Linked DNA regions of Caenorhabditis elegans. The protein of the gene in region 2 interacts with the protein of the main gene of each other region in a pairwise test. Each region holds a gene or a part of one and is shown on either strand. Other genes may lie near its edges.

What was found.
Region 1: the proteins of cdl-1 (region 2) and frm-1 interact in a two-hybrid assay, tested with the Caenorhabditis elegans proteins (one large-scale study listed by BioGRID).

The regions. Positions count from the first base shown.
Region 1 is NC_003279.8:14,894,148-14,899,223, reverse strand, and holds the start of frm-1 (Moesin/ezrin/radixin homolog 1), read left to right. Parts: upstream 1-1,861; coding exon 1,862-1,987; intron 1,988-2,041; coding exon 2,042-2,192; intron 2,193-2,439; exon of another isoform or gene 2,440-2,661; intron 2,662-2,833; coding exon 2,834-3,231; intron 3,232-3,787; coding exon 3,788-4,038; intron 4,039-4,364; coding exon 4,365-4,531; intron 4,532-4,580; coding exon 4,581-4,648; intron 4,649-5,076.
Region 2 is NC_003280.10:10,783,347-10,787,781, reverse strand, and holds cdl-1 (Histone RNA hairpin-binding protein), read right to left. Parts: upstream 2,331-4,435; 5' UTR 2,314-2,330; coding exon 2,167-2,313; intron 2,108-2,166; coding exon 1,973-2,107; intron 1,913-1,972; coding exon 1,499-1,912; intron 1,450-1,498; coding exon 1,144-1,449; intron 1,091-1,143; coding exon 944-1,090; 3' UTR 510-943; downstream 1-509. Other genes in the region: Putative protein tag-209, read right to left, coding at 1-10, 61-141, 210-275, 320-392. UniProt on the Caenorhabditis elegans protein: Involved in histone pre-mRNA 3' processing. Required for chromosome condensation, progression of cell death and morphogenesis.

The DNA.
Region 1 (5,076 bases), on a different chromosome or scaffold from region 2:
TGGTGGCAATTACAACTGGGCCGTTCAAATTTTCGATAATTCGATAATTTCCTCAATTTTTGAGATTTGGCAGTTGTTATCTATTGCCAAATATTTTTAATTTCCAAAGGTCAAACAAGGAGGGGCGATGTTGACTGTCTCTAAAGCTAGTCATAACTAGGTCTGTGAAACAGCGGAAGGAAACTTTCCAAAAAATTAATTGCCTCCAATAATTCTCTCATCGGCAACATTGTCAATCTACAAGCTGGTTCAACAATAAAAACTGTTTGTTCTCTCTCTTCTTTGCTATTGCGAAAAATTGTCTCATTGCAACACCTCTCTCGCCTTCATCTTTTCTGCCTCCGAATTCCCACTACTGTGATTGACTGAGATGAAAAGAATAGAATGAAACAGTGTAATAAACTAAACGTTTTTGTTTTTTTTTTCTGCTGTTTTGTGGCCAACACAACGCCTGTTGGTTTCGTCTTCTTCATCCTGATGGCGGTGGCGAGAATAAGAGAGGAGAGCAACAAATAGCACAGAAATAGCAACAGTTGTGTGTGCACCTCTGCTATCAATTGAAGCTCTCCGTAAGCATTATTTTTTGCTGTTTTGATATATTGGAATTCTTTTGAAACTATGTGAACAATTTTTTATTGTGATATTTGCCAATAATGTGTATTTTGGGTCTTGTAGCGACCAACATGACTGACAATGAGAAAATTACTCTATCGAAAACTTCTAATTAAAAATACTAATCGTGATTTCACTTTATCAAGTTCACAAGCTTTTTAGAAACGTGTAATAAACGCCTCAAGAATGTATTCGGTTGGGTCTCGCCACGATAAAAAATTGTGGTAGCAATTTTCTATTTATTCGGGATTTCGTGAGCAATTTTTGTAATCATCACTTTAATTTTTTCTCGATGTTTTCCTATTTTTTCCTGAACTAAAAAATACGAATTACTTATTGAAAAGCTAACGAAAATCAAGGAAAATCGTTAAAAACTAATAAATTCCTGAAAAAAATAAAAATTTCCACCATAAACGTTTTCGTCGCGGCGAGACCCACTCGAACATAACTATGCGCCTTTAAGTTTACTGTAGACAAATTTTGTCCGTTTTTTCGATGTTTTCCTCTATTTTTTTCTATTTTCCTACCATTTATTGTATTTTAATTAAAAAGTAATTAAAAAGCTAAAAAATTAACTTATTCCCTGCAAACTTTCGACACGAAATCTTCATTTCTCAAAAATTAGTGTTATTCGCGCTGCGAATCCACATTTTCCACTTTTTCACGTTCTCTGGCATTTATAAATTTGTTTTTGTTTTTCAGAAGATAAAAACGTAAAAATTCACGTTATAAATTCCCATTAAAATCGTCAAAGCCAAAATTTTGAATTCGTATTTATTTCTAGTAAAAAAAAAGTATTCTTCAACTTTGAATGTAAATTTAGTTAACTCTTCCACTGTTTTTCTCCAATACTCTTTCTTTTTTCATTTCCACCTTCAAATGATCCTAATATTTCATGTTTTCTCACCACAATCTGCGGGTACCGGAGAAAAGGTGTAATTTTTCTTTATTGTCCTTCTCTACTATGCCTCCCAGAATTTATTGCGTTTTTTATGCCGGGCATTGGCTACTTTTTCTCCCAACAACACCAATTCATCCCTTCTGTCTTTTTTTTTCGCAGAAAAACAGAACAAAATGTGGCATTTCGAATAGAGCGCGTTTGCATTACTCCCCCCCCTCCTCCCTGTCGGCCGGGCAATTCAAATTTTAACACTTTCTTTTGCTCTATAAACTTTTAAAACTTCTATTTTCAATGAAAGTTGCAGTTTTTTTTCTAATTTTTATTAATTTCCTCCACATTTCAGAGCAAATGGGTACCGATAGAGATCCCGGAGACCAGAAACACCCAACGACTAGCCAGCAGCCACGAGATTCGAAAATGCAGTTGGCAAAAGTTCTTCTTCCCGACGGAGTTCAAAAGGAGTTTGAGGTTAATGTAAGTTTTTGAAGAATTTCACCGGAAAAACTGCTAAATTCTAAATTTTTACAGAAAAACTCGGAAGGAGAAGCACTTTTCCGACAAGTGACACGAGATCTATCGATTGAGGAACGCGAATACTTCTCGCTGTGCTTCTACGACAAAGATGAGGGAACACGACATTGGCTATATAATGATAAGAATATTGCGAAACAGATTAAAGGTAAAAATGAGAAAAAAAAGAAAATTTTGGTTAAAAATGTGGATTTTCTTCACAAAAAGCTAATTTCCCCCGCTTTTTCAAAAAAAAAAAACTGCCTTGAAATTTTTGGAAAGCTGTTTCAAGTAAATAAAAATATTTCTCTTATTCGGAAAAGAAATTGAATCGATTTCATGTCCAAAGTTGTATTAATTTTCCTTTTTTTTTGTAAATTCCCTGATGAATTACAAGAATCTAGGAATATTATCCTTAAAAATATAATAAAAAACTCTAACCCGCGGCCACGTGTCGATTTACGCAGCTCGTGTATTCCTCGAAGAAAAATAGTTTTTCTACATTTTTCGCAAAGTTTTCTCAAATCTTCTGTGTATTTCAAAGAAAATCGAAAAATCTGATAATTTTAATTTTGAAATCGAGTCTTTTTTAAAAGTTTACTGATTTTTTATAGAGCGAAAGCGGAAAATATTGAAAGTTGGAATTTTTGTTTCAAAAAAAAAAATTAGTCTGAAAAACATCGAAATCTCGAACAATTTTCAACCAAAAACTGCGTAAATCAACACATGGCCGTGTAAGAGGTTTCCCGCGGCCACCTATTTCATTTTCTTTTTTAAATCAATTTTTCAACCAACTGTCAAATTTTGCAGGTCTTCCTTGGGAATTCTCGTTCGAGGTCAAATTCTACCCGACCACACCTACAACGATCGTCGACGATCACGCTCGCTACTACGTCTTCCTTCAACTCAGACGTGATCTCCTCACCGGACGTCTTCCAGCTACTGCCGACACACATTCTCTTCTCGGATCGTTTGTCGCTCAAATCGAGTTCGGTGATGCTCCAGCAGAGATGACGGATGCCTACGAGCAGTTCATTGTGGCGTCCAAGCTGGTGCCATCAGCACAAGCGAATCCGGAAACATACAAGAAGATTGTCGATTTGCACAGAGAGATGCGCGGACAGACGCCTTCTGAAGCTGAAAATCAATTTTTGGATCACTGCAAGCACCTGGCTCTCTACGGAATCCACCTTTTCAAGGCAATCTCCGTATGTTTTTCGACAAAAAAAGGTTCCTGCTCGAGTACTCCACTAGGAAAATATTTTTTCTTAAATTAACATCTAAACTTCTATCATTTTCTTCTTTTAGTGCTCATTCTTCAAGTCCTTAATTTTGAAGAAATATTTTTAGTGGTTTATGAAAAAAATAGTAGTATTTACTTTTGTCTAAAATAATTAATTTGTTAAGTATTCTCTTTCAATTTATCAGCTTGGTGATTTTTAAGCTAATTTTGAAATTTCCGCCAATTTCTTGAGGGTGATCAAATTTTATTCACTGAAAAGTGTTTGGCAAATTGAAAAACGGTGTTTTAACTTAAAAATAAAAAGAAAATCAGGAAAACTGGTAAATTTAGCCAGTCAACGCATTGGATGTTTGAATCGAATTATTATTAAATTTGAATGAAAATTTGTCATATTCGGTCATTAGGGTTTTCTGTCACTTAAAGCACAAAATGTTTTGACTCTGTTCCACCTGTAAAGGAGTAAAAACTATTCGAAAATGCCCAAATTAGCTTTGTTTTTATAATTATAAAATATCTTTCAGGATAAGGACAAGAAGCCTGTGGACGTTGGAATCGGTGCCGCCGGAATAAACATTTACCAAGACGAGCAAAAGACGCATTCCTTCAGCTGGCAGAATATTATCAAAATCGGATATCGTCGTACTTACTTCTCGATAAAGCTCAAGGCAGGGACTGTCGAGAAGAATGAGAAGACATTGTACTTCAAGTTGCCAAACCATGTCGCCGCAAAGAGGACTTGGAAGTGTGCAGTCGAACATCACACTTTCTTTAGGTAATTTTTGAGAATAACTTATCTCAAAAACTGAATTTCTAAAAGAGAAGTTTAAAAAATACGTGAAGATTGCCTAAAATTATCTAAAAATTTCGGATTTTTCATCTTGCAGGAGTCGAAAAATAATTTTTGTTCTAATTTTCGAATTCCTGCTCGATGGATCAATTTTTTTTCAACTGTTTAACTGAAATTGATTTTTGTTTTGTTGAATTGTCGAACATGCTTTTCCAAAATTACGATTAAATAATTATCTCTGTCGTTTAAATTTAATTTCGACGGGTCTGAAAAAATTATTTCTTAAAATTAAATAAAATCTTTAATTTCAGACTGATCCAACCTGAAGACAAGACACATAAATCATTCTTCAACTTTGGCTCCCAGCGGTTCCGCTATCAAGGACGCACTCAATTCCAGACAAAGATTGCCTCGCAGATGTTTGATAAACCATCGACAGTGGACAGAGCGCCATCTGCAATGTCTCAACCAATAGCAAGTGAGTTTTTGATTACAATAGTTGAAATACATTATTAATGAATTTACAGCAGCCGAGAATCAGAAACTTCAAACACTCAATCTCACGGATTCGGAATTGGAGCAGCGCCAATTTGAGGTTAGTTTAATTGGTTTCCAGTGTGCTTTTCTATGTTTTTGTTCTAATATTATTTTGCATGAAACGCTTTTTAGAGCGCTTTTTTGTGTTTTCTATCGCTCACATCACAATAACTGCTTTTCAAATTTTGGAGAAAAACCACCGAAAACCCCTCAAGCACAAACACAAAATTCACATGTTTCTTCTTTCTACTCAAAAATTTTCAAACTTTTCCGCTAAAACGTCAACTTTTTTCTTCATAGTTCTTCCCCTTATTCTTCTAAAGAACTGTACAATTTTCAATATATAGCAATGTCCCCTCTTCTATTTCTGCGTGAACTTTTCTCTCATTTTGTTGTAATTCTGAAAATTCGAGAGTTTTCAGTTTTAAATATATGCATACCTATACAGTTTCCAGCTAAATGACACTACCACAGTTCATTATGATT
Region 2 (4,435 bases):
TTGGAGAACACTGGAAATTTCTTCTATTAGTGAAATTTCCACAAACATCTCAAATCTTACTTTCTCTAACATGAGCCACATTCTGTTGTCCCTCGTCTTGTGGGCTCACGTCGACAAGTTGGAGCTGTTGTTCTCCTTCGTCTGGAATTTTGAAGTTATTTAATTTTTTTTAGTTTTTCCCAGAATTAAGTCTAAAAATCTAAACCAACCAGCAAGCCCTGCAGATTCCTGGATCGGACCTCCGAGTGCAACCTTGTGATTGTCGGCTGGAAGACCTGAAATTTTTTGGGTCTCGCAACGAAAACCTATAGAATCTTACCGAAACCGGTCATATCCACGTTGGCACTGACAGAAACGGACAAAAGAGCGACGAAAGCGAGTAGTTTCAACATTTTTCTGGCAAATAACAAAAAAAAAAGACTTTATTTGAGTATCCACCGCCCCGAAAATTGAACTTGAAATCTGATCATAATCTCGTAAATCCTTTCAAATCGGTCATGGTTTTTTTTCAATTGAGGGGCATAGCACAAATTTATTCTCAATTTTCAATAAGTGCAATCATCGTTTTTTGGTGAATTATGGGTCTGAATAGATAGGATAGGTAGGGGTTATATGTTTGGAAATATATAGGAAATCAAATTATAATTCAATGAAATTCGTTTTTAACAACACAAGCAATTAGGAAGAGACGCGAAAAATGAAATGAGAAAGAAAGAGAGAAATTAGAAGGAGAAAATAGAACAGACTTTGAAATATGACAGGGGCCCATTATCCCAATCATCGTACTATTTCTATTACGGATCGATTGAACATTACTGATTAGAGTGAAAGAAAGAAAAAAGTTGAGGGGGTAGGAAAGATGTTGAGGGTGGAAAATTTTAAATTAGAAAATAGACGGGTTTTTTAAAACCAAAACAGGATTCAAGAAGGAAAATGAGTATCTTTAGTGCGACGACATCTTGGAGAAGTCAGTTGGAGCCGATGGATCCGTGTTGGTTGAAGCTTTCAGAGTGCTCTCATCCATTCCCATTTGTGAGTCCACATCGAACTTTCCGAGTAGGGAAGCCATTGAGTCAACTTCTGGTCGCATCTGAAAAAAGAATATTTTGCTTTAAAATAAGTTTAATAATTTTAAAAACATACAGTGACTGGAATGACAAGATCTCGGAGAACAGATCTGTTCTCAATCTCCTTATCGTTGTCACCGGCCTCACTCAATGCATCGGAATCTGAGTAACAGAAAGAAGTATTGACAGAATCTGATGGCTCCTCTCCACAATACTCGTACAAGCTTCTCTTCCATTTCTTGATTTGAGTATCCCAACTGCGGCGACTGAAGTTTATAAGCTTATTTGGGGTTCGTGGATGTTGTCCCTTGATGCGATCGCGAAGTGGCACCTCCGAAGTATATCGTTGATAGACAGCCTTTTCCTTGGCTCTGTCGATTTCCTGAAAACAAACAGAATAGTTTTAAAGCCACTAATGTCCAAATAATTACCCTTGAGCGTCTCTTCAATACAGCCTCATCAGTGCACCATCCGAGAGTCGGCTCTTCCCAATGATCCCTTCGTGACGGACTGCTCGCCACACTCGAACTATCGGATCCACCATTTGTGAACAGACGGCCTCGTGGTGCTTTACGATTCGATTTCCCAGTTTCTGGACGACGTTTTGAAGGTGATGCACCTTCATTAATGGTTGACGCATTTGACAAACATCTTTTACGGCTTATCGGGCCTGAAGAGGATTCCATAACGACAGTTTCTGTGTGCTCCTCGACGGTTGTGATGGTGTCTCCGTTACGTGTTCGGGATTTGCTTCTTTGTGAACGACGAGAAGACGTTGACTGGAACACTTCATTTGTCAGCTCAAGTGAACGAACGAATTTCGGCTTGTTTTGACTGTTCTGGGCCTGGAAAAAAATTAAAATATGCTAATGAGCATTTAATTTATAAAATGCGAAATCCTGTACCCTCTTTGGCTGTCCCTTTCTGCGAGATTCACTCTTGCAACGTCTTTCTTCTTCAAGTCTACTAGCAAGCTCATCGTCTTCCTCGGTAACTTCAGCCCACGATCTGTTCGAAAGGTCGGCGAAATCCTCGACCGACTGAAATATTTAATTTTCAAAATTTGAACATTTTTAAAATAAAAACAAGTAAAACTTACAAAGATATCACTCTGAAATTTGGCAGTCGCTTTGATCGGTGAGCCCCACGCCTTCTTACGTGGAGACGATCTTGTTCCTTTTGTTGGAGTCTTTTGTGCCATTTTTTTAGGCGTTGGTGGCGCCTGCTTACGAGGAGACGGAACCATTCGTGACTAGAGATGCCCTGGAAAAATGATAAATTAGAAAAAAGAGCTTCAAGATAACCAAAAAAAAGTATTATAAAACAGTATTGAAGTGCGATGACATGAAATGCGACGGCAAGAGATAAGAATTATTCACATTTCAAATGGAAACTCCCGCCTAGAGATGTCATACACCGTGACGCACTTTCACGTACCGTGGTAAGATTTTTGCGGGAAATTTAATTGCAGAATTCTATCAAGGAACAATTGATTAACAAATGATGGGAATCGGAGTTCAATTAAATATGTATCTGATGAAATCTTGTCTATGCAAGTTATATTCAGATGAGGAGATAAGGCTCGCAATTAAAAATTTAACAATAAGTGCAGAAGCGGATTTCAATCAATAAACAGTGCTCCTAATAGACAGAGGGGTTTGAACGTTCGCGCGCGCATAAAATGACTGGTATGGTACTAGCATCTCAAAGACAGACTAGGTGCAACAGCTGCCCATTTCCCGCCCAAAATGTTGGCACTGTGCCAAATCGCGATAGAGACTGTGCTTCCCGCAGAGTGTACAGATGGTGACAACGGTATGGGGTGACTAGGTGGTACTAAAGGGGGATGAAGAGAAAAGGAAGAAAAAGGAGGAAGAAATTGGCGCAACATTTCTAACGACTGGAGAGAGTGGTGACTAAAGAGTTCGAAATATATATTCTGGAAGATATGTTAATTAAATAAATAGATAAGGACCGCCGCAAATATGAAAAAAAAAACTTAATATTTATTAAAAATTCCCCGTCTTTGTCATGGATGATTGCAAAGGTTTGATTTAATTTTGGCTCCTAGTTAATTAATTTTCAAGATTAAAAAGTAGCTCGAAAAACTATTAAAATTACGAAAAAACTCTGCTACATTAACTGCATAATCTGTTGGCACACGTCTTCTCCTCCGAACAGATGTGTGCCATCACACGATTGTGACCCGCCCCCCCCCCCCCCCATAACCGTGTGCATTGTTAGATTCGCGCAACCTCTGATGACGTCATCGGCGCAGGTCGAGCTCTTAGCATTACTTTCTGTGTTTGGTTTATCTGTCGTTCACGAAGGGGAAGAGGTCATCAAGGTGGCGTGGGGTCTCAACAAAAATGAAGCGAACACACCACCTGTTCGGAATCCATAGAAATTATGAGAATAAAGAGACAAAGTTCGAAATTCGCAAAAATTCGATATTTAAGAATTTGGAGAACAGGAGTGAAACCGCGGAAAAATGTGAAAATCACAGTTAAATGTCGGAAAACTCGAGAAAATTGAGAAAAAGTTATAAAACAAAAGCTACTGTTTTGCAGAGTCTCCTTTGAATATTATTTAGAACAAGTTTCGTTTTTTTTCTCAGCTTGAAGCTCCTTATTTAATTTTCGACAGAAGCCTGAAGAATTTAGAAGTGAACTTTTTTTTCAAGTTTAAAACAATTATCTAGAGCACGGACATTTAATAAAAATAAAAATCCCTTGTGATCATCAAAAATCTATTTTCTGATTTTTAAAGCATACCGAACGGTGAGTTTTCACTCTTATGCCACTTTTTAGGGAATCAAGTTGAGAAAATATGTTTAATTTTTAAACTCATCAACTTTTAAAAAACAGGAAAAATACAATTTTGGGAATGAAAGAGAAATAAAAAAATTAGATAGAAAAACTGTTTCTAGTTTGAATCGGCTACCGTACCCTTTGCAATGAATCGCTGCAAGACCCTTGCCTTCTGAGCGAAAATGTTCCTTTAATGTTCACATTTTTGTTTCTTTTGGGATTTTTTATTTACGTTTTGTACAAATTCAGTCCATTTCAAAGCAATTTCTGAATGATTCATCAGTAATTTTGAATTGTTTGATTTTATAGATATCCTATTTATCAGCGCAATTAGAATTTCGTATTCAAATTAGTTTTCATTTATCAATTCAACTCAATCTTCAGTTTCATTTTTAAAAAATCGTTCTACTCGTTTAACGCCCATTTAATGCTAATTTTCTACACATATTCCCCCTTTCACAGCTAGCTGCGCATGCGCAAATCCGTGCATGTTTGCGTGAGTGTGTTCGCACCGAAACCGGCGCGAACAGCTGATTGTTTGAATCCAAAACCTGATTT